Linked DNA regions of Schizosaccharomyces pombe. Changing the gene in region 1 together with any one later gene gives a genetic interaction. Each region holds a gene or a part of one and is shown on either strand. Other genes may lie near its edges.

The links.
Region 2: mutations in mug150 (region 1) and plb5 together harm fitness more than expected from each alone (negative genetic interaction), as found in Schizosaccharomyces pombe (one large-scale study listed by BioGRID).

Annotation. Positions count from the first base shown.
Region 1 is NC_003421.2:1,294,371-1,310,052, reverse strand, and holds mug150 (protein mug150), read left to right. Parts: upstream 1-9,098; coding exon 9,099-9,413; 3' UTR 9,414-9,866; coding exon of another isoform or gene 9,867-10,028; 3' UTR 10,029-10,122; downstream 10,123-15,682. Other genes in the region: conserved fungal cell surface protein, Kre9/Knh1 family, Knh2, read right to left, coding at 1-273; SPOM_SPCC1322.09 (uncharacterized protein), read right to left, coding at 2,280-2,924, 3,079-3,257, 3,316-3,859; MAPK-activated protein kinase Srk1, read right to left, coding at 5,188-6,918, 7,142-7,153; karyopherin/importin beta family nuclear import signal receptor Kap113, read right to left, coding at 9,867-10,028, 10,123-10,962, 11,013-11,702, 11,759-12,791, 12,869-13,095; aminopeptidase Lap2, read left to right, coding at 14,139-15,682. UniProt on the Schizosaccharomyces pombe protein: Has a role in meiosis.
Region 2 is NC_003421.2:1,739,051-1,755,830, forward strand, and holds plb5 (phospholipase Plb5), read right to left. Parts: upstream 4,410-16,780; coding exon 2,538-4,409; 3' UTR 2,152-2,537; downstream 1-2,151. Other genes in the region: wtf antidote-like meiotic drive suppressor Wtf16, read right to left, coding at 288-394, 445-507, 548-739, 785-997, 1,047-1,292, 1,460-1,598; nar1 (iron hydrogenase), read right to left, coding at 7,244-8,767, 8,846-8,938; serine/threonine protein kinase Cek1, read right to left, coding at 9,583-13,599; SPOM_SPCC1450.12 (uncharacterized protein), read left to right, coding at 15,237-15,515, 15,584-15,877, 16,001-16,508, 16,586-16,780.

The DNA.
Region 1 (15,682 bases):
AGTGGGGAGATCAGAAGAGATGGAGATGTCGGTATCCAAAGATCCAGCGGAGGATTGGACAGTTCCGAGATTAAAGTTTTGGTTGGGATAATGAGCATTGTTCACCAACATAATAACCATCTCCTCGGGATCAGTGCTGACAGAAGACCAGGTGACGGTGTTCACTTGGCCGGATTGCCAGGTGGTGTCACGAGTAGGAGAAGTGACAGAGACGGCATAAGCAGCAAGTGCATTAGCAAGAAAGAATAAAGTGGTACCGACACGAGCAAGCATTTTCACGATTACTTAAAAGAAATGAGAAAGAAAAGATGAAAATTAATGAAATTAATTTGTTTATATTAAATGAAATAAAAAGAAAGATGTTTAAATGAAAACCGCTCGCTCAATTAAACAGCAAAAGCTTGTACAAAGAACGATACAAGTACTTAGTGTATGGTTAAAACTGAACCTCCCATGGAGCAGCCTTCCATATATATACTGGAAAACTGTCTCTTCACGTCATGGCAATTTTTGGAGGAGGCTGAGAAGGGTAACCGTTACCACACCGACCAACCCCCTCAATGGTAACGGATAATATTTTTAGATGCGGGCAGTGAGAAAGTAAACACACCACCAAAATGTAAACAAACAAAGACGCGTATACCACAACAAAATGCGTACCTTAGTAATAGGAATAAATCTTTTTCAATAATTAAACAGAGGTACTTTGTTACATGTTTTTTATTACGATTTCCCAATTATAGGATGCATCTGGCTCGTGTCTTTGTATTATGGGAGTGTATATGTCTTTCTGGCCAACTATCGGACTGTGTGACTTTATTTACGAAGTAGTGAAATCACAGTTTCAGCCATCTTCATCAAGCATTCTTCATTCAATTAGCTTACTTTTTACTAAATCTTATCCCATCTGCCCTTCCCGCCCGCCCTATGTCGTCAATTCTACTCTTGTCTTCCATATACTCACTGTCAAAAAGTCATAATCGCGCATATGGAGGTGGCTGGCAGATGAGGTTATGTCGAGCAAAACAGGGAAACATACATCAATTCCAAACCGATTCGGTCAGCTAGCCAGCAATGGAAATAAGCGGAATAGGAAATAATCCGCAATGATCCCGTTTTCAAAAAATTGAATGCGTATTCCAGTTCGGATGCAATGCGTCTGAAAACTTTCATTCAGTTCTTCCACCTCCCGACCATATGGCAAAACCAATACCGACGATGACTAAAGAATAGTAAAAAACGACCAGCCAACCTACCAAAAAAGACAGACGATTTGCAATTCAAGCTTCTTTCCATTTTTTTACTCTTTTGTGATTTGCATTTTCTTATACCGAGAGTATTAGCAACACATAATTGCCTTTACCGCACACTTCATTATTAACAATTCCTTTAACGTGACACAAGAAACTGCGTAGTAAGATTTATTGCTTGTCTCAGTATATAGTTAAAAATCAGGTTAAATAGCTTATTAATGCGTTTTGCCTGATTTCATATCACCTTTTGCCTGGGAATTCACATCCAATCGTGACCTTTTTTTTTACCAACATTTCGTCTAATGACATGATTGCTGCCTTGCTCAGCAACCTGCTTGGGCCAACGAAGTTACCTGTTTCCACCTAGTTTCGTAAATGAGCTAGCTGTAAAAGACAAGCGATAATGAGGCGGATACTTAATTGGTCTTATTCATCATCAACAGGTGTGCTAGCACTCAAATAAAACTTTTCTAAAAGGGCACATGTCTTAGTCCATAAATACTTTTACTTTCCCTTTTTCTCTTTGTAAATAAGATAGCCCATTAAAACTCGCTAAATCCCATTATTTTGCATCCTAATGAATGGCTCGTTAAGTTTATCGTCACGTTCGTCTTATGATCCCACTCTAATATGTTGCAATTAATAAATAACAGAATACGTTACAGAGCGCTAATAGATGAAATGCTAGTGTAAACAGATGAAGAAAATCCACCTTTCCATCTCATCAAATAGTTTGCTTTGTTTCTAACAGCTGTGTTCTCTTCAGCAGCTAATGTAAATGTTTTAATTCTCTTGTACCGATATTTTTAAAGCGTATATACCCACTCTCATCGAAAAACATTCACATGTTGCTGTGCTACTGCTTAAGTCTCTTCGCTCACTACTCTAACATTGCTCTATCATATTGAAAAGCACGTCAATATTATTACGATTATGTGGCACAAAGAAAGTAGTTTCATTTGTTATTTCCTTTTTTAAATTCGAAACAATGCATCAAAAGTTCATAATTCATTAAAGTTGAATCAATTAGGCATACATGGCTCCGTCATAATATGGAACTGGAGTTTCAGATGAACCAGTGTTAACATCTTCTTCCGGTAAACCAGCGAAAAGAGAAGGATCGCCAAGGGCCATACGCTTTGAGGTATACATTTGGGCAACAATACCTGCTGCAACAGAAATGGATTGTTCCACCCATTCTGTTACCCATTCATTTGGTAATATGGCGTTAGAACCGAAAAGCTTAATGTATCGAGGGTCCACAGCCCATCGTTGCCATTCAAGCGGCAAAGGTTGAGAAGTGGTAGAAAACTCCAAGTTATGATTAGTATCGTTAAGGTGAATAAGAAAGCATAGTTGCTCATCATCCGAAACTTCTTTATTTTTGATAGTAAATGCTTGGATTACGAGAAGTAAGTGAGTTACTCGAACCATAGGAGATTCTGAAGCGTCTTCATCATCACCAGCTCCAACATTTTCTTGCTTGTTTTCTTTGTTCATCTTTTTAGCCTCCGTAATAGGTTCAGCTAAATTGGCTTTTGCAAGTTTTTTCGCTTCCAAATAACCATTACATAGACCAAAGTCTTCATAGACATCGTTCGTTCGGGGTCGAACCTTAGCTTCCTTATCCAATAACACCGTTAATTCACCTCCTTCTACTTGGAACATCACCTGGTAACATGTCAGTAAAATTATCCCATAAAACTTAATTATGATTATGCATTGACCTATCTGTCTTTTGAAAACCAAGTAATCGGTGACAGCATAAAAGAAAGCACAAATATTAGTGCTATGTCCAAAGCGTAAACGTAAATACGCAACTTACTTTTTCAAAGCTTTCATACACTATACGGTCCAGGTGTGCAAATCCTGCTAGATCATGAAATACCGTCACCTGCAAAACTTCATGATCATGAATAGGAGGTGCCACCACGTTCAGAACGTTGTGAATTGTATTGCTTAATGTGGGAAGGGCCTTACTCCTTATTCCATTGCTCAAATCTCCTAAAAGACATTTGTTAGCAAAAGGAACTCTTTCTTCCAAAAGAGAAATTCTACTTACCAAGCTTGTTCAAGTCCACCATATTACGCACGTTAATATCCCAGTTGGCATTCTCTTCAAACCCTTTTATGGAGCGAACTCGTTGTTCAGCTGATCGAACAGCAGCGGACGCAGTGGACCAAAACCCACCAAGCCAGTTGCTCTGTTTGGGTGTTTCTACATGTTCTTGGAACTCCTGGGACTTGTTGATTTCGTTAACCGTTTTTGGAGTAGCGGATTCTGTATTTTTATTTATAGTTGTCTGAGCCGCTTGAGACGGTTGATTTGATGCATCATGTTGCTGACGTTCATTCGAGGTAGCTGCGACAGATTCATTTTCCTCGTTGGCCTCTTCTATAGGATTTTTCTCATTCTTTTCTTCGTCATTCTCAAGCTGATCTAAAAATTCCAGCAGTTCTTTTTCGTCCTGCACTTCAGATGGGGCACCAATTTTGGAGTCGTCGTTGTTGAACTCTTTGGAAGTGGGATCTGCTTCCATGCCAAGTTGATCCAATGATGCCATTAATGTTTCGACATCATCAGTTTGCTCTTTGGTCTCTGCCATACTGTTTAGCAGGAATATCACACGGTCTTGTCTAGTTGATGAGTTTCGTAGGCTGAAAAAGCCACATTAAGGACTCCTATAATATAACGGTAAAAATCCTCGTTAAGAAAATTTTATGCAATTATTATTATATTATTACATTATGAAAGAATTTAATAATTTCGTTTTAAAAGTAAAGTCGTGAACTAAGGTATGTGAATTTTAAAAAAGTTTATCTAAAAAATAACATAAAAAGTTTACTGTACCATGTTTGTTCTTATGATTCTCTCACCAATATTGATCGAACGACATTCTGCGAGTCAATTATGCAACAGTGGTCTTGATCGTGCAACTGATGCGTGAATTTTATAGGCATAATGCTTACGAGAAACGAGAAAGCAACAGATATTTATTATCCGTGCGCTGTAACTTACCTACACATTGTTTAAAAAAAGCAATAGCTTAAACAATGGTCAGCAACTTCCTATCCGTTTTGGCCAAATAATACACGCCGTCCAACGAACATTATTTAATACATTTATTTATCATCAATTTCACTTCAACATCATCGACAAAACACTACAGAACCTTCATGCCTAAACTATTGGAATATATACAGGATCAAGCGAATATTGCACAAAATTCTATCTACTCAAATCAAAACGACTAGCAGTCATTGATAGATTCTTTAAAAACAACGTGACAAAGAGCAAATGGCTTTTTTTGGCACACACTGACAAAAAAATGCGTAAATCATTAATGGTATTATCTAACAGCATTAAACGTCCTTGTCATTAAAAGACAGGCCTGGTAATATTTCAATCTCTTCTTTCAAGCTAAAAAGAATCAAGAGATCGCGGTTACACAGTACGTAAATAAGTACAATATCGAAACTTTTGGGAAGCCATGTCATATGCAAAGTTGAAAATAACCATATTCCAATTTCACCCCTTGAAAATTTTAATTTAAACAACGGTTTCATTAAAAGAATGCATAACTAGTTTCCATCTTTTTGAACATCTCAGTCCTAAGAATAGTTGTTGAGCATCATATAATTCGTATGGTTCTATCATAAAGAAAATTTAAGGTAACAATAAATTGAAAGTATTGGAATAAATCCCAACTATTAGAACATATTCGTCACTGAGTAAGCGTCAATTGATTAACAGAGTGGATAGTTTTAAAAAGATTGAAGATAAATTTTAAGGTAAATAACTCATAAATAGTAAACATTCAAAACAGGAAGAATACAACAAAGTAGTAGTGTCGAAAAATCAGCATTACTGAATCGCATTTAAAAGCAACTGATTTGGATAAAAAAGAAAAGTAATCGAAGTTAGACGTCTGTGTTACACTTTTTGTCGATGTCGACGATTATACAAAGTTGCCTTTGACAAGTTGAGTTGGAAACCTTTGAACTTATTCCGCGACCTTTGAGATGATTGTTGTTGCGATTGAGCAGGTTGGCGGGAAGCAAGGCTAGGATCGTTTTCACCTGACAGGTTGACTCGTTTCATCGAATGTTCAACGCTCTTGGTACCATCATCGTAATCATCATTCTCCTCCATCAAATCATCCATGTCACCCATAAAATTCATGATTCCTTGGTTACCACGTTGACCACGTTTCCTAATCTTCTCTTGTTCCATTCGGTGGGCTGCATACGAAATATTAAATACTTCTCTCAACGAGTTAACACCAGGAGTACGAGCGGCTGAACCGGCAGCAGCAACGTCTTCGGGCTCAAGAAAGTCATAGGTAAATGGGTTTTCGCGTTGAGCAGTGTTAGGAGCATCGGTGGCAGGAAAGGTAGGTTCCCGAGAGCCCGAAATCCATGGATGGGCTAAAAATTGATGAATGTCGTAACGAGATTCCGGGTCGACAGTTAATAAATGACTGATTAAATCCTTTGCACTCTTTGAAATATCATCCCACCAAGGAGAAAGGAATGAATACTCGCCTCGTGAGACTTTTTTCGTCAACAAAGAAATGCTTTCATCATAAAACGGGGGGAATCCACAAAGAATAGTGTACAATACGCATCCCAAAGCCCACATATCAACTCCCTTAGAATACCTTTCATCACGGACAATCTCAGGGGCTGTATAGCCCATAGTGCCACACGGAGTTTGAGTGTGAGAGTCCCAAACCACTTTGCTTAGACCGAAATCTGCGAGACGGATTCGACCGATGGTGCCAGCGCCGACACCGGGAATAAACTCGCCCTCGTCTACCTTATCGGGATCGTCTCCGGCACGGTATTTACGAACCCGAGAGGGCACAAAGTCGATAGAATCAAAAAGCAGGTTTTCAGGTTTGATATCACGATGAACGACACCGCAGTCTTCATGCAGATATCGAATGGCATGTGCAACTTGAGTTATGACATGACGAGACAAATCTTCGGAAAAATAGGTGAGGCGAACGATTTGATGAAATAATTCACCACCGTCAGCCAGCTCTAAAACCAGGTAATAGTATTCCGGGGTTTGGATGAATTCCAAGAGTTGAATGATGTTAGGATGTTTAACGCGACGCATGATTTGAACCTCTTTTAAAATGTTGTGCGATTCAACGCCTTGTCTTTTTCTGGGATCGCGAGGATCGGTGTTTGGTTGAGCGCGCTGGACAACTTTAATGGCGACTTTTTCACCCGTTCTGTTGTGAATAGCTTTGTATACATTACTAAAAGCACCATCGCCCATCTTTTGTAATAGAGTGTATTGTTCAAGGCCTTTATATACAGGAAATTGTTGGCCGGAATGTTCCTCAACAATGGCCTTTGCAACTAAAGCCTCGATGGCTTTATCATATTCTTTTTCGTTGGTAGGTTGTTTACATTTGGAGCGCGAATATTCGGAAGGATTCTCGTGCACCGTCTCGTGGAAATGTGCATGCCGGGACTTGGGTTTCGAGGTGGGATTTTGAGTGGAGTCCGCTACTTGCTGAGTTATGCCAAAATTTTCTTCAGCATCCGAAAATATGCCAGCAGTATAGCCATGGTCCCGTTCAGCATAGGAATCGGGATTCACTTCGCGAACGTTCACCTTGCCCTCGTCCTCGATATTTTGCTGAATACTCTAAATAAATTAAATTAGCATAACAAAAAACAAAAAAAAAGTAAAAGGGAAATGTGTTTATGGATAAAGGTGGTTGGAAGAAAACAAAACCAAAACACATTGTATGCGTAAAAGAAGTGCGGTGAGATTGATGTTTCCTACTGAGAAGAGGGATGGAATGGAAAGGATGGGAGTATAATCAATAGGCATGGTTATGGTTATGCTTTTGGTAATTCAAACATACTTTAAAACGCATTATTTGAACAGACGGCGACAAACGGAATCAATCAAGAGATATGGGTATTATTAGAAAAATAACTAATTAAAGATCTCTAGTCGTTTGGTTTTACGTCTGGAAATGTGCCAACACATTTGCTTCCAAATTCTTGACACTGATCTATCCGCATCCGTACTCTTGAACTAAACCAAGATAACAGAGAGACAAGATGATAGAAAAAAGAAAAAAAAAAGAAAAAAAAAAGGAATTTCGCACAAAAAGAATGAAAAAAAAGATACACTTGCGCATCCGCCAAATTTAACTTAACGACTTGAAAGCGAAACCCGTCACCTGAATGATGTAGAGAATGAAGTCAAGCATACAATCACCGCCTAGCAGAAGGGGAAGGAGACGTGATATAGAATAAGGTAAAGATGAAATCAAAACTGATCATCAAGGAAAGAGCAAATCTCCGTATGAAAGCACCTGACGTAGAAGAAAAAAAAAATCCAAAAAAAAGTCCAAAAAACTAGTCACAGACTTGGAAAGAAAATAAAAATGAAATAAAAACACAAAAGAAAAAAATCGCTTCTTGCTTTTCTTTTTTTTTTATTAGAATTCAGTAATCTTCCAAGACTCGATATTGTCCAACCGTCCTAATTCATTCGTCCACTTATCTCTCCTAAGATCCCTATCCCCAACCCAGTCCAAAGGTAGGAAGTGTAACGTCAACAACACTCTCCAAACGCAAAGTCTTTCCGATACTCATCTCCAGCCTCTAATATCCGCGTTTACATCCACAATCCAAACAAAAATCCGACTCAAACATTACCCACACGAACGAGTGAGCAAACATTTACAAACGTACATTTTTAAGAATCATATAACTTTCCAATACTGGGTACCCTTCCAATAGTCTCCAAAAAATTACTAAATTAGCTTTTCAATTGATTTTCACAGAAATATATTGTTGGTGTCCAACAATCGTGGTATGCGAAAGACAAGAAGTTTATGTCGGCGGATTTGCCTACTTTGACGTCCTTCGTTAACGTACGTCATTGGCATCATGCGAGCCGCTCGTTCCAACTCTGTATTCGCTTACGATGGTGGTGACGTTGCGCATCCATGACTCGATGAGGTTTTGCGGTAAGCGACACGGTGCAATGGCGAGGTAAAAGTGTAAAGTGGGTGGAGGTCAGCATGACATCAGAGACAAAATAGGAGGATATTGGTGTAGGAAGGGAAGAGAAGAGGATATCGTTTATAAAGAGGTTGTTGGAGGAATGCTAGGGGGGGAGAGAGAGAGAGAGAAAGAAAAAAAAAGATAGAAGTATGGATGGCATGGATGTGTTCTATCTTGTTTTCGATTGTATACTATGAAAGATGGATAGAAAGAATTTATTCGAGATCTAATATTTTTTCAATCTCACTCATCCATCCTCTTGCAAACCTTTTTTTCTTTTTCATTCACCCATGAATTTCATCTGATACAGCAAATCAACCAATCTTTCCTTCCTCCCCTCCATTGCTCATTTCACTTTTGAGTGGCTTCTGCACTGTTTGGCGAAATAAATTTCCATGTTATTCCATTTTGAGTTGATTAGTTGAGTGATTTTCTTCTGTCGTGAAAATTTTCAACAAACTTTATCTGTCTATCTCATTATCCTTGTTGATGCAGCGATCCATCTCATTTCTGTTACTTGCAATTGATTTCTTATAATTAGCAAAATTTTCATAAGCCGACTGGCTGGCTTCATTACATATCCATCATCTTGGTGTACAATGAGATCGACGCAATTGACCTGATAAAAACGCTGGATGAAAAATCGCCCATTCCTCATTGTTGAATGAATGAGATGAGATGATGTTTTGGCTGTTGTCGCCTGACTTCAAGATCTAAAATTCATTTGAAAAATCAAAAGTTCTTCTTATAGGGCACGGCAATTGCGCCCTTTCCATACAATGCAAGCCCTTAAGTATAGAGATGGCGAGCTTGTTTATCATCATGGATAAACGCTTCGCCGTCTTTGCCTCAAGTGACAAGCCAAATAATTGTAGTAGAAAGAACATGTTTTTTTTAAAAAATATCATTGTACTGTCGAATTACCTTTACCTTTTGTATAAGGCATGGATTGTTTGTACTACCATATCTCTTTGCTGCGATTTTCCTCTGTTCAATTTTCTCTTTATAGCGATTCCATACTTTACTGAGATTCTCTACAATGATTCCTCTTTACTATGGTTTCTTTTCGTATCACTGTGTTTTATTACGTTATCATTCCAATCTTTGGAAATATAGCTGACAGCTTGCACAGGCTGAGGAATCGCTTCTTCAATAGTCATAATGAATATAAAGTTAATGTTGATTTTACCTGAATATGTTTATATAAGAAAGGCCTACCTAAGAATGAACAGTTCTCTTATTACTGTATTCATGTTTATACTTATAATTTGGATATACTGGCTAAGACGATATTGGCGGATAGGAAAGGCAGAGTCGTATTAGAATAAGTGAAAAAAGCGTGCGACAGCTAAAGAAATCGCATAGGAAATTTTTTAGAAGGGTTTTTAAAGGTAAGTTTTGTTCCTTCTGAACCGCAGTTCAACCAAATTTCCCATCCATCATGTTAGCTTGAATTGGGATTTTAATCAGTATAACAAAAATCGTAGCAACTGGCTTAATTTAGATATACAAATTAACACCAACTTTTTTATCATGAAATATGATGTTGTTTTTACTGCTTCTTTTTTCCTATAGCATGGATTGAAACTGTTCTAACAACGCTGGGTTGACCGTCGATAAATATTGGTTTTGAAAATTCTCCATTCCACCATTAGCGTCTCTGCAAAACATAAATACAGAAATAAAAAATGAGCGAGAGTTAACACTATGAACGGGATCCTTTAAAAGCAGCTAAAATAAAAGTTAGTATTAATAAAACAAAAGCAAACAAATAAAACTTTTTCATTTACACAATAAACATATTTCTAGCCTCTCATTCACTTACCTGCTTTCGTCGAGTCATTTCTTCTGAGGTTTCATCGAGATAAAACCCAACAGCCGAGTAGTCATCATTTTTATAGTAAATCGTTGCATCTCCATTCGCATCCTCTTCCACCTCACTCAAAACGCTGAACCATAAATTCATGATAGAATCCAACACTGCCAAAACGTCGGGATGATTTGTTCGCAGCAGAGAGCTGAGGGCGAGTGTGTTCAGTTTTCGATCTTTCGAGTGGTTTATGTGGTCGTTTAATAAAATCCAGTTGCCGATAAGCATAGCTATGTTGATATTTTTCGTTTGACAAACCTTCAATATTAATTCCGGCTCGCGCAATGAGATGCGTGACACCACCAATAAATATTCAATCAACACCTGAGGGTGTTTATCATTTGTTGCAATGGAGAGTAGGAGCCTCGACAGAAGTGAACTGTTCAGCAATGATTCGTAAATCATATCCATCGGAGTAGTTTCAATGAGTAGACATACAGTTTTACATAGTGCTTGCAAAGTTTCGTTTTTTACATCGTCTAATAAGTCGTTCAACTTTTCAAATATGGTAAATGAGTAATCCTTCATCAAAACGGTATTGTCTAAAAGTTGATAACTGCTTACTATCATTAGAACGAATGGAAGGGTAGACGTGGCCTGTGAAAGATGGTACAATAAATGAGGGATAAGTAGGGTAAAAGTTTCTGGCAATTTTTGTATGTACATGAGAAAGGTGCTCCACAATTCCATTGCATCCGCTTCGAAAATAACATGCTCTGGAGATTCCGGATTTACACAATATTCTATTACCGTATATAAAAAAGTTGAAAATTCAAAAGATTTTGCTTTGATCGCCTAGAAATTAGTATAAGAAAACAGTCTGTTGTATATAGCCAAACACTTACATTGACGAATTGGTGCATAACTGCCAAAACTCGTGCTCGCAGCAGCGGTTCCTTTTTCCAACCATCCCATAATTGAGAAAGGAGAGAAGCAATGGTACTTTCCATGGGAGCAACATGTTCTCCGGCCCTTGCCAATAAAGTACCAAGTAAAGACAAGATGGAAGTCCTAGCATCGACTGATTCAAACGCTTTAAACAAAGAAAGAACATGGACAAACAAATTTTCTTTGATAGAAAGAAATGAATTCTCAGAAAAATTCCAATCATCTAAAACGGTTTTGAAAGCATCTATAGTTGTTAAAATGACTACGGCGTCATTGCAAGGATCTGTTAAGTTGAGAAATGAGCAATACAATTTGTAAATAACCTCAAGGAGTTGTTCTGAAGAAGAATCTTCAATCCATTGCGATAAAAAAATGGCAATTCTTCGTCGATACACTCTAGATATCCCAATATCATTAATGGAAGCCATGTTGGGAACTGCGGCTTCCTGTAGCCATTTTGCAAAAGGAAAAATACTCTTCAATTGGGTATATCCAACTCCGAAAGAACTGATCAAAGTGTCTTGTTGAACTGCTTGTGTTAACGTCTTTGGACACTCAAAAACGCTGTAAATCATATCCTTGAACGGCGAAACGATAATATCTCCATATGCATCAAAGAAGCATTTTAAAAGTTTTTCGGCACAAGGCTATATTATCGTTAATGATAAGCTTATCAAAAAACCCATATTCATAATCAACTTACCCTAACGTTAAACTCAACATCCTGGGTCGATTGTTCAAGGACCCATTGTTGTGGGGAATCCGTCCATTCTTCAAAATCTTCTTCTTTTAATATTAGTAGTTTGGTGATGAGTAAATCCAAAAGATTGTTTATACGATTATCTACGAGAAATGAGTTGTAAAGAACTTGAGCCGTTTCGGGGTGCGACGATTTAGTATTGCAGAATTCTTGGATGACAAGGATAAATACTCGTAAGCTCATAATCACAAGTTTTTCAAAATTTTTTGAGCTCTCTTCAAACTTTTCTTTGTATGAAGAAAGATGAGAACTGATTTGACCCAAAAAATCATAGTGCAATGAAATGTAATCAATAGTAGCTGGAAACTTAGTCAAGCATGGACTATAGAAAGAAAAATCAAAGAATGGCTTATTGAATAAGAAAGCATGTGCAAAAGCCATTTCTAAGCACTCCCCAACTACTATCGGAGACCGCGAGGATTGAAGCATTGTACCAAGCATACTCAAAAGTTTTCGCTGATGAACAGCACAAAAAGCTAACATACGCTCACTAAATTCACTTTCACTAGGATTTTGGAAACCAAAAACAACCAACCGTCTACATGCCTTAAGCGTGTATCGAGATATTTGCATATAAGACAACAAAGTAGAATCTTTAATTTCCTTAGAAGATTCAAGTATCATCATCCAGCTTGATAAACTAGAATGTAAAATGGGTTGAAGAATCGTAAGCAATTCTGGAGCAAGTTTGTAAAAAATCTGTCGCGATCTCAAAAGACGATTCCCAGCCATTGCTTTGATAATGTGATGAAGAGTAATTAGTAATCTTAAAGCCACATCGTAATCTCCTGTACCCAATGACTGCTGTAACTTGCCTAAAAGATCGTGAAAAAGAGAAGGCCATTCGGTGGGATAATCCAATCTAGCAATTCGAGAGACGACCAGCGCATTTTGAATAGATAAGAGGTTTTCAGATTTTATAGATCCTAAAAGAGCATTACATCGTATAAAGTCACGTTCTTCTGGAAGTAAAGACCTGCCAAACAATCATACATTAGCAATTACGAAAGTCTAACAGTACAGGTTGATTCTTCGAGACTACTCCTAACTTACATTTTTGTATTTTTCCTCCATATTATATCTATGGAGTTCCGTAGTTGAATGATAGCAATCCATCGTAAACTCATGTCATTTTGTTTATCCAAAAATATACTGTACAGCTTGCCAAAGAAACCTGGTTCCTTTTTCCAGTTGTTTAAATGCCCTTCAGCATCCTTAACAGCAATGGGATCTTGACTTACAGCACGTTGTAGTTGATATACTACAGGATCTACTTGCATTCTCCAAAAAAGTCTGAGACTTGGTTTTTGCTTGAGCAAGGCTGTACCAGTCGCACTCAGTATATGTGAGCCAAAGGAAGGAATTATAGGAAACACTTAGAAAGCGCTTCGATTTCGGAAATGGTGAAATAATTTTCAAATTAAAAACGTTGCGTTCAGTTTTTTTGGTATTTTAGTATCAGAAGATTTTGGGTTTTTTGGTTACCCTTCGGAGGTCGAGCTGCGATTCAAAATTCGAACTTTTAACTCTGTTCGTAATTGAAGAAATAGAAAGATCACAAAGACTAATACTTCTATTATTGCTCATTTTTCTTTCTATAGACAACTAATTCATATTACAATAAATGATAATGTAATATTGCCTTCTTTCTGTTATCTGTTAACAAACGTATCTTATTAAAGAGGGAATGACCAAGATTTGTGGAATTCTCTCTCGTTTATGCCTAAACCTTATGAAATTACAAATAAATGAATAACATTTTTTTACTATTTTATTTAAAATAAACCAAAATCAATAATCGTAACAGTTATTGTATTATTTACATTCCCAAGCTAAGGGACGCTGTCTCTTTTATAATAACTTATCATTGGCAATGATCCTTTCAAACATTCTTGGTAATTTTATGAGCACAAAAATAATAATTATTTACTTTTCAAAGCCCTCTCTCCAAAACTCCTATTCAACAATAAACTGTTTTCTTTTGTGAATTTACAAATTGCGTTGCTCAACGAAAATAAATGTAGTGATACATAATGATATCGATAAAGTAGCATAACGCGCTGCACCCATATCCACACATGTTGCTACTCATCGTATTGCTGTATGATCGCTTTTCCTATTCCTTCCTTTATAAAACTGTGATTAATCTGTTTTAACTATTTTATACTTAATATTTTTATTTACTCAGTAGCATAACTCATATTGCTAAAGCTGAGATCGTTGTACTCGTTGGTTTTATCTAGGCTTCTAATATATTGAGCGTTGTTTTCGTTTAAAGAATTCGTTTGTACATTGTCCTAAATTCCTTCAATTAATTTTAAATATGAAACTTCGTTTGGACCCTTCCACTCAATCTAATTATCATGATGTCTCAATCAGTAAGCTCGATTGGCACGCTCGAATTGACTTTGACCAAGAGCTGCTCCATGGTAAAGTATCCTTTGTGATTCAATCTGCTAGGGTGTCCCAAGCCCTGTCCCATATTATCCTTGACACTTCTTACCTCGAAATCAAGAATGTAACGATTAATGACATCCCTACTCCTTTCCGTGTTGATAAGCGGCGCGGATTTTTGGGTTCAGCTTTGCATATCGTTCCCGCTGATGAAATCCCTTCCTCAAAATCCTGTATACTTACAATCTTATATTCCACTACTAAGGATTGTACAGCACTTCAGTTTTTGAAGCCTGAACAAACGATAGGTGGTAAATTTCCTTATGTTTTTTCGGAATGTCAAGCCATTCATGCACGTTCATTCATTCCCTGTCAAGATACTCCTTCTGTTAAAGTTCCGTGTACTTTTAAGATCCGGTCCAAACTTCCCGTAATCGCATCGGGTATCCCATGTGGAACAGCTAATTTCTGCAATGGCTCTTTGGAATACCTGTTTGAGCAAAAAAATCCAATCCCTAGTTATTTATTTTGCATTCTCAGTGGTGATTTGGCCTCCACAAATATAGGTCCACGTTCTTCTGTATACACAGAGCCTGGCAACTTGTTAGCTTGCAAATACGAATTTGAACATGACATGGAAAACTTTATGGAAGCCGCCGAGCAACTAACACTTCCTTATTGCTGGACACGGTATGATTTTGTCATCCTTCCGCCTTCCTTCCCATACGGAGGTATGGAGAACCCTAATGCTACGTTTGCTACGCCGACACTTATTGCCGGAGATCGCTCCAATGTTAACGTTATTGCTCATGAATTAGCCCATTCTTGGAGCGGTAATTTAGTTACTAATGAGTCATGGCAATGCTTTTGGTTGAATGAAGGTATGACTGTTTTCTTGGAACGCAAAATTTTAGGCCGTCTTTATGGTGAGCCGACTCGCCAATTTGAAGCCATTATTGGCTGGGGTGAATTAGAAGAATCGGTTAAATTGTTGGGTGAAGATAGTGAGTATACGAAGTTGATTCAAAACCTCGAAGGAAGGGATCCCGATGATGCCTTTTCCACTGTTCCTTACGAAAAGGGCTCCAATTTCCTCTATGAAATAGAGAGGGTTATTGGTGGTCCTTCTGTTTTTGAACCATTCCTTCCCTTTTACTTTAGGAAATTTGCAAAGTCTACCGTAAACGAAGTCAAATTCAAGCATGCACTGTATGAATACTTCTCACCTCTTGGGCTTGCATCTAAGTTGGACTCGATTGATTGGGATACTTGGTACCATGCTCCTGGTATGCCTCCGGTTAAACCACATTTTGATACAACGCTTGCAGATCCTTGCTACAAGCTTGCAGAAAGCTGGACTAATTCTGCTAAAAATTCTGATGATCCCTCCAAGTTTAGCAGCAAAGATATTGAAAATTGGTCAGCGGGCCAGAAATCTTTGTTTTTGGATGTTGTTTATGAAGCTGTCTCTTT
Region 2 (16,780 bases), 440 kb from region 1:
TTAAAAAAGACACATAATTAGACTCGCATCATAATAAATAAGAGATTCGAATCTCAATGCATATTATCCAGATTATCCAACATCGCGAACCATTTTAAGCGATGCATTGGTTTGACAATTTTTGGTAATTGAAAGAATAAGTTAAGCATACATTCCATAAACTTATAAAGAAAGAGGATAATTAAAGAATGTTAGTGCTTATTTTTTAAAAAGCCGCAGCTTCTCTGCGTTGGTGATTGTCGTAAAGAGGTTTTCCAACTGGAGCGACAACTACAATAATAAAGCAATTAGACTTCGCTTTCGGCCTCCGTTTCTTCCAAGGGAATGTTATTATTATTATCGTTGGCACCTCTAAACGCATTTCCTATCCGCCCAATTGCATTTCCTATACCTTCTAATCGGGTAAGTAAAGAATCATTCATACAGTTGGTTGAATACACATACCTAGGAAAGAAGCTATACCATTCCTGATAAATTTGGGCATCCTTTTGAGAGCACCTGGACATTCTGATACGATTAGAATAAATTACAGGAATATTAAACAAACCCATTTCGTAAAAGAAAAAAAAATTGCCTATAACAAAGAGTGAAGTGGCTTCAATTTCGTAGCCTGTCGCGTCGATATGTTTATCAAATAAATACATCAAACCTTTCGTTACAATAACGACACAACTTTGTACACCCAGCACTTGAAACAAACCAGAAAACATATGCTTGAGTGTCCAGAATGGAAGACGAACTGCGTGTTAGCGGTCAGCATTGGTAACTCCATAACTTCACATACCATATAATAAAAATAAAAGTAAAGCAGCTGAAATACTGCATGTAGAACAGATGAGAGCCTTGTCTAAGTTCAGGTTACCGAATTTGATGCAACCAAAGAGTACAAAACAAATGACTACCCATAATAACCAGATTATTACTACCCATTTTTTCCTTGAGTTGTACAAGCCGACCGCAGTTACTTTAACTGCCTTGGTCCAAGTTTCATAGAAGTCTAATGAGTTAGTGACTGAAGGTAAGAATAACCCCATTGTCTCACTTACAAGTCAAGAATATTAAAGCCAAAGTGCAAACAAGACACCAAAATCCAAATAATGTCCATTCCGCTGCACCATAATTTTTAAAGAAAGCGTCCTTATACTTTAGATAACAAATTGCGAGTACATTCAGTACATAGATTGGTGTGAATGATATTAGCAGTTTTATCAAGAAAGGGGAAGAATTATCTGTCGACCTGGAAGGATTGTTTTCTCTATGTGTGTTAGGAGAATTGCTTACACGTGCGTGATCTGTTTAAATTAATATGATTGAAAGACTTTAGTAAAGAAAGAACATGTATTAAAATGTGTGCATTGCATGGCCAACTGTAAACAATGACCAAAGCATGCAATTTGACTACGATGGCAAGCTTCAATTTCAATTGAGTAATTCCTTTCTTATTATTTACAATTCTTACCCGAGTATGGAGGCAGTGCGCCCTCTTCCTCTGAATCATATTCTGGAAGTAGCCCTTTTTCCAAATCGATTTCATGTCCTGTCTTCGATTCATCTCCTTCATCTATAGGACTTTTCAAGGAAGTGTAATTATTCTTCATTTTTTCAAGATCATTCTTTATTTAATAAAATACATGCGCGAATTAATTGCTATAATTGCGACAAACGAAACAGCGAAATCAAGAATTTTCACTCTGGAGCCCAATTTCAGCCGTTCAACATAAAAAACGAGCAATTTCTTTCAAAGAAGACTTCTCTCTTTAATAATAGTAGGTAAAAGTTAAAATTCGAAAACTCATTTTCAAAATGCAATTGCTTCTGACACATTTATTTTGTCACTGCCCTTTTTATTTACCCTAACTTAGCTTTCCTTAAAACGTTTTTGAGAAGCAAACGTTGTAGTATAATTATAATGTCAGCTACGCAGTTTGGTATCTGGTTTAACGATATATAGCACTGCGGCGAGATTTCTAGGGATTTACAACATAGCGGTATGCGCTTTGTTAACTAATAATATTATATTTATTGTTATAAAAAGTCTAGTAGTATCGGTCACCGATATAGCCAATAACTGAACTGAGGAATGAGGTTCAGTGGTAGCTCTATTTATATTTTTCTCTAGTTGCTACCAATGTGTAACTTGTGTAGATAGATGGACAAACAGCTACAATCATCAATAAACTAATGTTATGTATATTTTAGCATGACATATAGTGCTACGCAACGTAGTATATCGTAGCGTGCTGGACTACTGCTGACACAGTATTTGAGTTGAAACATTTCTGCAAAGGTTACATAAATTAGTGTCATTTAGAGCTTAGGAATTCAAATTCGATGGTGTTAATGGCTTCTTGAAGCTTTTTTCATTCCTATATTTATTCACTATATCTTCCTTCTCGTTGTTTATGAGCAATAAGTAAAGAGCCGACTTTTGCTGGTTCTTAGATTAGTGAATATATGAACATTAGTGTTTCAATGCTTTACGCTCTATGCTACCATGGAAAAGATCGAACAAAATGGATTGTCGTGAGCGTTGCATACTAAATCTTGGCTGACAGAACTGTAGGTGCATATGTAGTAACGGTCGTGCTTGCAATTGTTCCATTCCAACAGTATTGATTAAAGCAAGAAGCACATTGACTTGGAGTCGACATGTTTTTGCGTTCCAAGGAACGTTGAACGAGAGCGCATGCAACGCAGACAGCAAATGAATCACTGTTATTTTGGGTAGCAGCAACAGCGGCATTTTCAATCATTCCACTGGACAAAGTATCTTCCAGTTGAACAGTGTAGGTAGTGACATTTGCATACATAGTCCAAGGATAGTTGGGGAAGTAAACTACAAGAGGAGGAGTATCGTCATTAACGGTATGGTTTCCGGCTGTGGTGTTTCTACCGTCGCAACCGAAGAAAGTTGGATGAGTGTTCAAACCAAGAGCCAAAAATGTGTTGGTATCAGGAATATATGGGAAACCACGAACGCCAGAGGAGTTAGTGGCTAAAACTCTTTCATATGTAGAAACTAGGGACGATCCATCTGGCCATCCACTCGTTGCGCTTTGATAACCCCCGTCAATCGCAAAAATAACATCTACGTCTCTTTGTGGATGAAGCAAGGGCCAAAAGGGAATACCTTCACTATCTGAGCCACCGTCTATTAATTCAATAATGGGATACGGCTCCAAGGGATTGGTAGTGGTTGTATTGGAAGCATTTCCATAACCTTGGTAAGGGTTGGGATAAAGACCTACATCCAATTGATCTTCGGCAAGCATTTCGAGGAAACTAAGGACAGCATTGTTAAAGGTATTATTACTAGCGGTGAGTGATGCATTTGTCGCAGGAAGGATACCGCTAAAAACATTTGAAGAGGTACCCATGAGGAAACCAGCGTTGTCGAAATTACGCACACAGGATTCATTAAGAGGAATGCCATTAATAAGGTGTGTACCTGTATACTCCATGGGTATAAATGATTCCACCCCAGTGTCCCAAGTACCAAATTCGATGGGTGTAAATTCAAAGACAGTGTCGTTCAAAGGGATTACGGTTTCACCCTCTATGACATTATCAGCAATGATGATGGGAAAGGGAAATTCACCATCCTGGAACCACGTTTCATTTGTTACACTAGAGAATGTAGTATTAGCACCTCCAGTCAAAGGATTGACAAGCTTAAGAGCCAAAGCACGGCCCCAAAGGTCAGTAATGGAGACATTGAATCCAGCATTCTTCTTTTGCAGAACTTGCTCAAACCACTCTTGGTAAATATAAAAGTTCTCAAAAGCGTCGTCATAGGGAGCGAAGAGACTGTGGTCCAGGTTCCAAACGTCGTCGTGCAAGAAAGTAATATTGGCAAAGTTGTTAACCGCAACAGATCCCACAAGCCAAGAGCCACCAGAAAGACCAGTAAGGTACATGGAAGATTGAAGAATACCACCAAGAGACGTAGTGTTACCATTTCTAGCATCAAATGCATTAATAGCGCCGGCTCCCGTTAACATGGCAGGAAATCCACCGCCAGAGATTGCAATTCCCAAACGAGGGCCATCTGTGTCATTCAGCACACTTTTTGTATCGATTTTTAAGCCGGTTTTTGAAATAAAGCTTTCCAATGCACTGTTAACCTTTGAGACACGTTTGTCAACAAATTCTTGTTCACCAGTACTAAGGCCATCGGAGGCAGGTCGAAGCAGAGAGCCACTAGGGCAAGCAACAGTATAAGGCGCATACGATGGGCTTGTGCTACGCTTGGAAAGGGGTATAGAGTTTGCTGGCTTATCAACGTTATCGGGTTTCAATAATCCGATTAGTTCTGGGTCTGAAACGTCTACTTCATCGATACGAGAAGGAAGGCCCAAGGCCGGCAAAAGCTGGAGAGCGAGAAATAATCCAAAGGAAGATAATTTCATGTTTAAAAAAAAATAAAATAAAAATTAAAAAAGCAAGGTTGGTTTAATAAAGGATAAAAGGATAGAATACGGTCAATGATTCGTTTTTAAAAAAAGTTCGAATTTTTCAATTTTCTCTGAATCCAAAAAAAGCAAGAGAGTGATTAACAAACAGCGAGTTTCTAAAGTCTGAATTTTTTGAAATTTTCTGAGAATGAAAAAAATCAAGACAATGAAAGTAATCAATTAAAGAGCTTTCAATTGTCAATTCCCAATCTAGTAAGTTCAACGAAAAATATTTAGATATCTAGAGAGTCCGTCGAGCTACAATGTCAATAAAAGCAAATTAAGCATTTGATGGAGCGGTTCGGCAAGCGATGAGCTTAAACTATATTTCCATCAGGACACCTAGTTTTGTCGAAAAGGTTGGGATGAGACAGGATTTCGACATATTTCCAAGAAAATAATATCATGTTCTTTTTTATGATTTAACCTATCTTTTTCCATTGAAATAAAAAAATCCCAATTCAAATTTTCAAGTTGGGATTTTGCTTACCCACCGTCCGTTTTAGGAATAGACAGACGTTTTTGCTCATTTCCTTGCCAAACACAAACCGGCCTTGCCAACTTTCTAGGCATTTGTAAATTGCTTGCTTACCTACACAGATCACACTAAAGAAGGATGAATCACTGATTGTTTGTTTTAACGGGATTTACCGATTCAATCACTAAAGTTGCAACCTTTATTCATTTATTCCCAAGTGCTATATATATAATATATATAGGCTTTTGAGGATGAACTCACTTGTAGACTCACTTTTCGCATGACCCACGTTTCTCATGATCTGCTTACCTTGATCCGCAATTCGGCGTGGACTAGAAGGAACTCCGAAGATGCCATCTATGATGTTAACGATTTTCTATATGTAGCACCGTGAGATTATGAAATGGTGGTCATATTACTAAGTCTTTAGATGCCAGTTGGAGTTGGATTGCCTAGTTATCATTAGCATTCATGGGTACCATTTATGCCCTATTCAATAAATATTTCAGCGATTCTATAATGGAATATTTAGATCAACCTAGGCTCAGCTTTAAATGACGGGATGAATATCAACGGCTAAATTTATAAACGGATACCAACCCGATTGCTGCGAACTCACGGATGTAAAATTGTCTGGTAATGCAAATCATCGACAAGTCCATGATGAAACGACTTTCTATTTTTTTTTTACTTCTATTAACGTCATTTAATGTCCAACTCTTCTAGGAAATCCCCAAATTCGAATATTCAATAAGGTAATGGGGTGCGATGTTTTTAGTTGATTCACATTGGAAATATTTCAATTCGAGATATGAAAAACCATTGATAGAAACAGATAGAGTAGAAGTTATTGCTTGATGCAACAAAATTTGAAGATTTGTTAATTTACAGATTTGCTATTCTACAAAGTCTCATCCCTACAAGCAGAAATGGATCTGAATAGCGATCGCTTTAGTTAGGTCATAAGATCGGCAGTCTAAACGTTGACCGCACATGGCTACATTGTAGCCTTTATATTCTTTCTTTCTATTCCAGTTATAAGCTGATACAGTAGATCTTGAATTTCATCAGTTTGTCAAAATATCTCTCTCGTTTTATCATACTTTACAAACCCAAAACACAAACATAAGAAACTGCACTGAACTAAATGCAAAGCTATAAGGTATTGTAACAAGCTCACAATGTGATATATAACCATTTCGACAGAGTTATTAAGAGATACATTATTTTACACTTTGTTTAAGAGTTCCCGTGTATCCAGACTGTATACCTCCTTTGCTTAGTTCCCGTGTCTAAGGAGCTATAACAAAGAGTTTTGTAAACCTAGATTATGCACTGGCTTGTACGTCTTAAATAAATTTAAAGAACTACTGAAGTGTCATCGGTATGTGATGAATCCTTAGCGTAGCAAAGGCAGTTGAGGTATTAAGGTCAACGAATACTGTATTATAGTAAGTTTCGCAATACAAGTTAAGCAACAACTCGTCCAAAATCACAAATACCAACTTAAGGAGTGATAAACTAGATATGCGTAATTGTGGAAATTTGTCGCACAGCTGAATACTCCCTAAGTGTAATATATAGTTAGCCAAATTAAATTAAACTAAATGGAAAACTCTGATAACTACTTGTGTTTGGTGTATAAAACTTCGAAGTTGCTTATCTCTTTACAATGCCTCTATAGATTTTTTGTTTATGGTCTTATAGCTGAGGCTACCTTTAAAGATGTGCGACCAAGAGCAACTTTGGTAAAAAATTTACTGAAGGATGAAGTTGTATGAGATTTCGTATTTAAAACAATTTATCTTCTTCATTGATTAAAATTATATGAAGCGCTTTTTTTTTTCAACTAGAAATCCCTAAAAGAAAATAGAAATAATATTCAAAGTGAAACTCTCTATTTACGAAATGGATACACTTAGATTTTTAAAACACATTCAAAAGTACTATTGAGAGGAAATGATTGTTTTTACCAGTGTATTCTTTAAATGTGTAGGATGATAATGGAGTTATCATTATTGTTATGTAAATTATTTGATAATATACCGGATATCGGTAATGAATTGAAATCTTGCGAATCTAAAAAATACAATGAGAAATGAATTCACATGAAATATTCAGAAGTAAAGTACTTCTAGGATCCTATCAAGCATGTATGAAGAATCACATATTAGCCAACTAAAGATTCGCGTATAACTTCTTCACTAATCAATTAATTTCAAATTTTTATTTCCCCAAAATAGCCAAAACCTATTAAATTCCCAATAAACAATTATAAAAAACCCATAAATTTTCCTTCTTTTAATTATTTTTACCACTTATTGGCCAGCAATAAGGGATTATCATTATCTGTTTGCACTGCACGATAGGATGTGTGAAGAAACTTGGGTGTCAGCGTAGGATCTTTGACCCATTGTTCTAACATATAGGATACTGCGGATTGATCTACAGACCTGGTACCGGGTTCATAGTACAGTTTCTCAACTTGTTGCATCCAATCTCTGGCTGAGACAATTCTTTCGACAGAGGGGAATGGAAGCTGACCGCCTCCATTGATACAACCACCTGGACATGCCATGACTTCTACATAGTCATAACGTGAAGGCTCTTCTGTAGGATTTTGAGCATTGCTTCTTACTCGTTTTTTTAATAAAACCCGGCCTTTTCGAACCGAGGAATTTCCATGTACGCGGCGTACCAAATTTTGAATGTTTCGGAATCCATAGCACGTTGCCATAGATATTAACTGTTCATTCGTTTCGGGGTGTCGTAAAGTATACTCAGTCAAATCGCCATTTTTGTTATTCATTGATACATAAGGTCCAACATCGTCAATACCAAAAAGCATTTTAGCAGCGTATGATAAAACATAGCCCATGTAACCTCCTGAACTAGAACCTATCTGTTCTTCATATGTTATTCGAGGATACCAAAAAGGGATTGCATCTGTAGACTGCTGAAACGGTATGGGGTTTTTAGTTAACTCAATTGGATCAATTCGTAAAAATTTAAACATTTCTACCAATTCCTTTGGCGTCAACACAGAATCTACGTCTCGAACACCGTTCTCTGAAAATTCATCACGACTGGCCTCAAGCTTCTTGTCAAAGCAAGGCATGAGACTCAAATGCCAAACATCATTACGTTGCATACTGAATTGTTGTACGGCCCAATCCTTCAAAATACGACCGCACGCCTGCTGAGGTGAACGAACACGAGACAAATTAGGGATCAAGTTAGAGTGAGTTTTCTCAACGTAACATATCCACCCTGGACAAGATGAAGACAAAATGGGAAGAACAGCATTCTCGTTAATGCCCGAATTTGATGAAGTATTAGAATGAACCCCTGAAATTTGTGAAGTTGAATGAGGAATGAGTGGATGTTCGTTTACGACGGAATTGGTAACCTGGTTTTGATTTTTATGAGCACGGCTTTGTAACCAAGAATTGCAAAACTCTTGAGCGCATTGTTGCAACACAATTTCACGAGAAGCATTAGTATCTAAAATAGCATGAAACCCAAGTTTTCCAATGAACACCATTTCTAACACTGCCTGTATTTCCTGTAAGGAGAGACCATAATAAGCTGCAAGATTCGCCCTCACTTGTGGACTAAGCGAGACATATAAAATTTCTTGAGATTTTCGAGATTCCAAATGCTTTAAAACTTCTTGGTAGGATTGAAGATTAACCAGAACTGTTTCTGCAGATGTAATACACCCACTGCAGGCCAAACAATCGTTCAGTGAAATACTAGCAATCCCAAGTTCGGAGGTCTCTCCAGTATCCTTAGTTACTTCATAGTAAGCATCCCCGTCTATACGAATGTCATTCTATCATGTTAGTTGGTTGAACAAAAAAAATAGAGATGTGACAGATGTTATACTTGCTGCTCTTCCAATGCATCTTACCTTGGATTCCTGCTTTTTAACTTGGGCAGGCTTTATGCAAACAGCTCCAGGACTTAAGAAGTCATTCAAGTCATTTACAGACAACTTTGCCATTCTGCCATAAAATTACAATGCTTGCTAAAAGTAAAACCCAGCATTTGTCATTGGCACAAGAAATTCTTTATTTTAGTAATATTATTTGCCACACTGTGGTGCACTATCCTTTTTATGAGACCTGAAAAAAATAAATGAAGTATGGAATAGTGAAACATGGTTTACTGCCTTATTCGTTTGCATTCTCAGTACCCGAAAATCATCAATATATATATATATATGTATAAAAAAGAAGATACTTTATTATAGTATTGTATTTATCAAACAGTTTGAGCTTGTTATTTCCGAATGATATATTTTATTTGTAGATTTAAATAAGTAAAAAAAAACTAAAGAAATGAGGGTAAACAAAACGAGATCCGTATAAAGTAAAACAACGGTTATGGTAAATTAGTATACAAATATTTTCATAATGTTCTTCACGTGTGAAAACTTATAAAAAATGCAAATGTCCATGAATAAACAGCGGGTTCAAGTTAAGGAATGCAACGCACTGAAATAAATACTTAAAGAAGGATAAAAATGCCACATTGGTCAAAAGAAAAAATAGTTAATTTTTTAAAGAATGTGCATGGGAAGTTATAAAATGAAAGGAAAGAAACAGTATATGAAGCTGATCTGGCATTTAGTATGTAAGATTCAATTCAAGAGTGCCAAACATCTAACTTTCGTAGACAGCTTTCAATGTTCTCACAAGTAATGGGTTTCAACAAAACTCCATCAGATTGTAAATCAGTCGGAATGCAAGTCTCGTCCTCGCAAATGTATACAAACGGCACCCTTGAATTTATAGTAGCACTGGTTCGCACTGAATACATTAATCGGGAAGAAGATACTTTATCATTTCCAAAATGTAAGAATACGACGTTAAATTGCTCGTTCTGCAAAAGCTTCTTAAGAATGCTCCATGGATCATCTATTAGAACAAGCGTTAACTTTGGAAAAATTTTTTTCAAGATCTCCGCAAGTTCAATTTCATCCTTAGGAATTATCATTTGTAAACGGTCAAGCTGAAATAACCCTGGATAAGAAATGGCATTTCGCTTATGAGTTAAACTCTGAGCTTGTAAGTTGTCAATCCTGCCCTTCTGAATTGTAGTATGTTCATCTGATGAGGTACCCTCTGTAACGTCTGGTAACGCCGTGTGCATGCTTGATTGCGATTGTGATGCTGACATAGTGCTTGAAACACCCTTATGATCTTCTAACGCTAAATTATCAAAAAATGAAAGCATCCGACCTTCTTTCAGAGAATCAAAATCATCAATTGAATCAATTGAATCTGTAGTAATATCTTGCACTCTTGTCGTGGTGGATGCCTCATAGTCAGCCATTGAAGCTCGACGCGAAGACTTAACAGGACCTACACTTTGAGAAGTTGAAAGTTTGGCTTTAAACCTACTCATGTACTGACTAAAGGTGTCATCAACAGAAGTCTTTGCTGATTTAACAGCCATATGCTCCTTTCTAAGTTTTTGAATAGTATTCCGGTTAGCTTTATTAAGAAAATCCAAGTTTCGATATGTAAAACTTCCAAATTCAGGAGTACTAATCGTATTGCTTCGTAAACGACCTTTACGATTACCAGACACATGCTGGGGTATAGAGGATGCAGGTCTTTCTTCTTCCAATTTTTGTGCTTCTGTCACCGTAGGTTGATTGTAATATTCACTGAAATCAAATCCTTTAAGTCCCCTAGAATCAAAATACACAGTGTCTTCAGGAGAAAAAGGTTTTGGTACAAATGGAGGGTCCTCTTCTAAGATAGTATCCCAGTTAACAGACTTGAAAAAAGGATGTGCTTTTATCTCCTCTACTCCGTTGGCACCAAGCCTATTTGCCGGATTCATACATAGAAGGCGATCAATCAAATCCAAAGCAACACTACTTTCAGCAGTAAAAACTTCGGCAGGCCAATTGATGCGCCTAGCAAGAATATTTTGAAAGACTTGGTCAGGCGTTTCCGCGTTAAACGGGGGGTATCCAAATAAAAACTCAAAAACAACGCAACCCAAGGACCACCAATCACTCGCTTTAATACCAGGATTTCCAAGGATAACTTCGGGTGCTATATAATCAGGTGTACCAATAAATCGCTTAGAGGGATCTTTATTTTCAAAAAACGGTTGAACTCGAGGCGAATCTGTGCTACGGAAAATGTTGGATTCGTCTACCTGAGAAGTAGGAGTATTTGTTGCAGTGGGAGAATCCTCAGCGCTGTTCTCGTAATTGAAACTTTGTCCAGCAAGTCGAATACTAGTACCATCTAAAGAAAGAAGCTTTTCATTTAATGAAGGCCGTTTGGGACGCTCTGGTGTTATCAAAGACTGTGCTTCTAGTACCGATGAAGCAGTACTAAGTGATAAATCAGATATAGCACTAGAGCGATCTCTCAAGTCAAGTACAGGAATTGAAGAACTCTGTTTTCTCCTGTGTCTTTTCATATAACCGACCCGACTCAAACCGAAATCTGTGAGCTTTAAATGTCCGTTCTGTGATATGAGTAGGTTTTCAGGTTTGATATCACGATGAATTATTCCACGATCATGAAGATCACCTAGACAAAGAACAGTTTCAGCTATATAAGTTCGAATCCAATCCAAATCTAATACACCCATGGTTTTCAGAAGTGAACCACAGTCTCCGCCGTTAAGATATTCCATAACTAAATAAAGGTAGTCTTTTGATTGAAAGGTGTAATACAACTTGGCAACAAATGGTGATTCGCCTTGAGACATGAGAATAGCACGTTCAGCTCTAACATTGATAACTTGATTCTTTGCTATCATATTCGATTTTTTTAATATTTTAATAGCAAAATAATCACCAGTAGTTCTTTTCTGAGCCAGATACACAGAGCCAAACGCACCTTTGCTAATCGGCTTCAATATTTTGTAGTCATTGATAGAAGGATGCTCAGGGGCAGAGTTGGGTACAATCGTATGTATACGAGGTGATGGTGATGGTAGACGTAGTCCCACATCTCCAAGGTTGCTGGCCCTTCCACGAGAAAACAAAGACGAACGACCGTTAGATGCTGGGCGATTCGGACCATCAGAAGCCACAAATCTTGGACTCGAATTTGGAGAAAGATACTTTAAATCATCAAAACGAGGATCGGAGAAATTGGAATCAGATGCTTTTCTTCTATGTAACGGAGAAGAATAATTTGAACTATCTTGACTCATAGGCGAACCAATTGCAAAATCTGGATTACTAAGAGAAACATGGCTAAGATGCCTTGAATAAGAAGAGGATCTTGAAAGATCATTGATATCAAGGCTTCTATCAGATTGTGGTGTATTTGTAGCGCTCCCGGGTCGAGTAATGCATTCCTCTGCCTCGAGTGCATCGCAGGCATCAGGAAAGGTAATTGAAGGCGCTAATTTAGATTCCAAGTGTCCTAAAGAAGTAGAGGAATGATTTGTTACCAAATTCGATACGACATCATCAATAATTTCTTGAACATGATGGTCAATTTCCAAACGAATACGTTCAGAGTAATAGATTGCATTTCGAAGACGCAAAACTCCAGTAATTTTAGTATCAACTGCTGTCTTTATGTCCTCCCAGAGAGCAATCACTGCGGATGAGCAATTTTCTAAGGACGGGTTATAATTATCAAGCTCGATAGTAGCTTTTTCTGACCGCGGAGACTGAACACGAAGAGAATCCACTTTATCAAAATTCACAATGATTTTCACTGGAGGAATAGTAATGTCGATAGCCACTTCCAAGTAGTACATAACCTGACTTAAGAATGAACATAGTGATAATGTTTGTTTATTCTCATCGGTAAAAAAATAATCATCCGCATCAACAATAAGCGGTTCATTTTTGTATACGGGAACAAGACTTGAATCTTTCTGCATTCCTTCCTGAATTTCCAGTAAGGTACTCCGGAAATAAAGCAAGGAATCCTGAGCAGCCTGTACAACAGATTCATAGGTGCTTGTGCTAAGACAAAACTTGGAGTGCAACTCGAAAAACCATGATTGTATTTCACGTTCACATATTTGGCAAAACTCTGGGGTCGGAAGTGGTAACGCATCTAAGCTGTTATGCTTGTGATAGGAAGTCCTTAAGTCGCATAAATATTTGTCTAAAAGACTGGCACCGAAACCGATGACATCCAATAATTTAGTTACAAGAGGAGATACACTACCAAGGGAATTGGTAGCTGGGTTCACAACCCACATCGTGTGTGCGGGAATTGCGGACCCAGGATGACGAATGAGAATTCCAATAGCATCAAAAGGTTTTGTAATTTTTTCATCGCTTGGAAGATCTCCTTTAGCGGTGTAATAGTTTTGATTGGCATGATTAGCGTTAATTGAATGTTGGAACCGAACATGATAGCTATGAGAGTCATCCTTCAAAAGACAGTTAACGGCTCTCATAAACGCATTGTATCCATCGGTACCAAGGACTTCTGCTACAGAATGCCCAATGATCTTGTCTTTGGGTATATCCAAAAGTTCGGATGAGTTATCGCTAATAAATTGAAAGTTTCCGGAAAAGTCAAGCTCGAATGCAACGGGAGATAAAGGAATGGAAGGTTGAAGGTTCTCATCTTTTGAGCTGAGAAGCTCTGCCTGGGAATGTTGAGCTTGGTCATCTTCCAAGAAGACTTCTTCGCGTTCGTTTTTTATATGCTTCATATACAACTGACGGAGTCTCCAGCATACAGTAAATTCAATAGAGGGATAGGATCATTAGAAGTATGAGCAGTAAGTATGCTAATTCGACAACTTTTTATATAAAACAAATAAACGCGCTATAAATAACTGAGTCACTGAAAAAACAAAGGAAAGAAAAACGAAGAGTATGAAATACCCAGCTGGATAATTCTAAAACAAACAAAAACAATTCTTTTAATAATGATAGAATTTCCACTCAGTATCTATACAATCAAGCTAGAAAAAAAGAACGATTTTTAGTACTTGGTGGTGGTTAGGAGTTAAGTGGCTTACAACTTAGTATTAGTATTGTGGTTCATTAGTCTGGCCGCATAATTCGTCAACAAATAAAAAATTTTTTCTCTGCTTCAGAACATAAAGTTATGCTTGTACAGCATGTATAATACTAGATAAGTATTCGGGGCGAAGATTTCATAGCAATGAAATGAATTAGGGTGGAGTGCTGTAAAGTAGCCAAGTTGAATCGACAATGTGAAGTAAAATAAACAATTTAAGAACAATTGTTTTAGCTGCTGGATTATAAATAGACAGTATGATGCCTATGGAATTTATAGATGTATGGGCACAAAAAATGGGTAAATACATGGGGTAAACATCAACATTTATAAAAAAAAAATGGTTGCAAAATTAGCACGCAAACGTTTAAAGATATCACTTTGTTTGAAAGAGGATCAATTGCTATGCAGAAGCGTGTTAGATTGGCTGCGCTTTTTTTTTATTATGTCTAGAAAACACAGACTTATAAATAATACCATCATCGCTTGGGAAGTACAGAAAAGTATAATAGAAGAATTTCAACTTGTGGGAATACATAAGCTATTTAAAAGGAAATATTTTGCGATTGCAGCTGATCTCTATATCATTGATTTTTCAATCGAGTGAAAGCAGACGGACTTGTCTTGAGTTTTTAAAAAATAAAAATAAAAAAGCACAGTAGTTACAATTAAAAATAATTATTAATTGGAATATGATATTTCCGTTTTTTAGGAATCGCTTGATCTCTTGTTTACAAAAGTAAATGATATGTTGTTTATTTTTTATTCAGTTTGTGTTACTCTTTTAAAAAGTCTAATATAACAAGATATATGAATTTGGACTTCCTATTATTTTACTTCTTTTTTTTTTTTTTGAAAGTTTCTAAATTTTTCAGAGAACAGAAATCTTAAACTATTTCCTTGCTCATTCAGAGGTGTAAACAAAGAATACGGAAAGCGGTCCATTCTCCCGCAAAGTTATATAAAAAAAAATGGAGCAAGCAGTATACAAAAAATCACATAATTAAATTTATTTATTAAGGAATGTTTTCTCATCAATGAATGTTTCCTTTTGCCTACCTTTTTCGATTTCTGCACCTTTTTAACATTTTAACATAAGGAGTGGTAGTGTAGAAACCATAAACCTAATTAGCGTACTTTCGCTTATTTTAACTTAGCCTTCACATCTTATACTTTTTAACGTATACTAGTCAAAAAATATTTTAACGAGTGTCCCTTAAATGTCGGTATAGACCTAGGTGAAATAAATATTACATATATTATTTACGAACTGGTACTCCCCTCTTACAGCATTCCGTGTAGCGGATAATTGATATTTACGACATGGATACAGCATCTCCAGAAGAGATAGATGCTTTAAAAAGACACTATTTGAAGAAGGAACTTTTCTCTCTTTTGATCGCAGACGAATTGAACTTCGTGAGCGAACCCACCAATTTGGATCATCTCGGTAGTCCATTTGTGGAAAAAGGAAAATCCGTGATCCCCTATGAAAAATCCCAAATTCCCGTTTTACGCTTCATCTTTAAAAGATTTATTTTAACGTTTCCGTTTTTGGATCCTGATAGCCAAAACCAACTTTGGAATGTGAACTTCCGCAATGTACGTAATAATGGATGGAAATGTTTTAAAAGTATGCGGATTGTTACTAACCAGATATTCTTTGTTAGCTATTAAAATCTCTCTCAAAAAGCAATGTCTCTGTTCTCCCGGATGATTCCGATGCTACGCATTTGCACAAATGGTTGCTCAAGTTCCAAAACATGCTTACTCTACTCATGAGTCGAGCATTTCATAGTATCCAGGATGAAAAGAACATTAACATTGAATTGCTAGATACCCCAAAATTGGAGAAGGACTTACATAAATCTGAACTCCAACAAAAACCAAATATTTTGGAAGCTTATGTTTTGGGTGTCAGACAGTCAACGCAGGCAAAGATGTTGCGTACAAAGCGAGTATATGTAAGTTCTTTGCAGTTCTAAAAAAGGAAACGAATCTAATTGTTTTAATAATCACATTTTTCGATTACCGTTTTTACGAAAATTTGCTTTTGCTTCTTCATAAGCCGCTAACGAATATTCCAGGAATACTTGATTAAAGTGTCTTATGAAGAAAATACTTTTTTCATAGCTAGAAAATATTCCGACTTTTCTCATTTCCATCATTTGTTGCTGAAATCGTATCCGAACGCCTATGTCCCTCGTCTTCCTCCCAAAGATGACCATGACACATATTTGAATTCTTCTGAAGACTCAACGTTGAGTCCTTTACCTTCACGTTCCTCTGATACGAACGATCCACAATCAGATTCCCAACATGTTCTTCGTCAGGAGCGTATGCGAATTGAATTGAGGCAATATATAAAGAACATTCTGAATGATGATGAACTTCACTTAACTGAAGAAGTCTTAAGCTTTTTAACCGACGATCCCGTAACTTTAACTGCATCGGAGCTGACTGACATTAACTTTCGCCAAGAGTTAGATGTCATCCGTCAACTTGAGCAACAAAAGTTTGTTGAAATTGCTTCCCAAAGAGCAAAAGAGCTTGATGTTTATATGGAGGAGTTTAAACGTTCCTTGACTGAAAATAGTATGTAATTGTGAGACAAGGATAACAAAAAAATAATTATTGCGTTTTTATTTTTTTAAGTGACTAACACTTTTTAGATGGTTTCACCACTTTATTCACTGAACTGAAAGAAAAAAACAGTATAAGTGAACTTTCCCCTTCTTTACAAAAAACAATTGAATGGGCTAGAGTCAATCTTGCCTCTACCATTTATGATACGTTTATAGGGAAGGAAAAATCGTTGGAGACGTATTTACAAATCAAGAAAATGCACCAGCTTTTTCCCTATACAG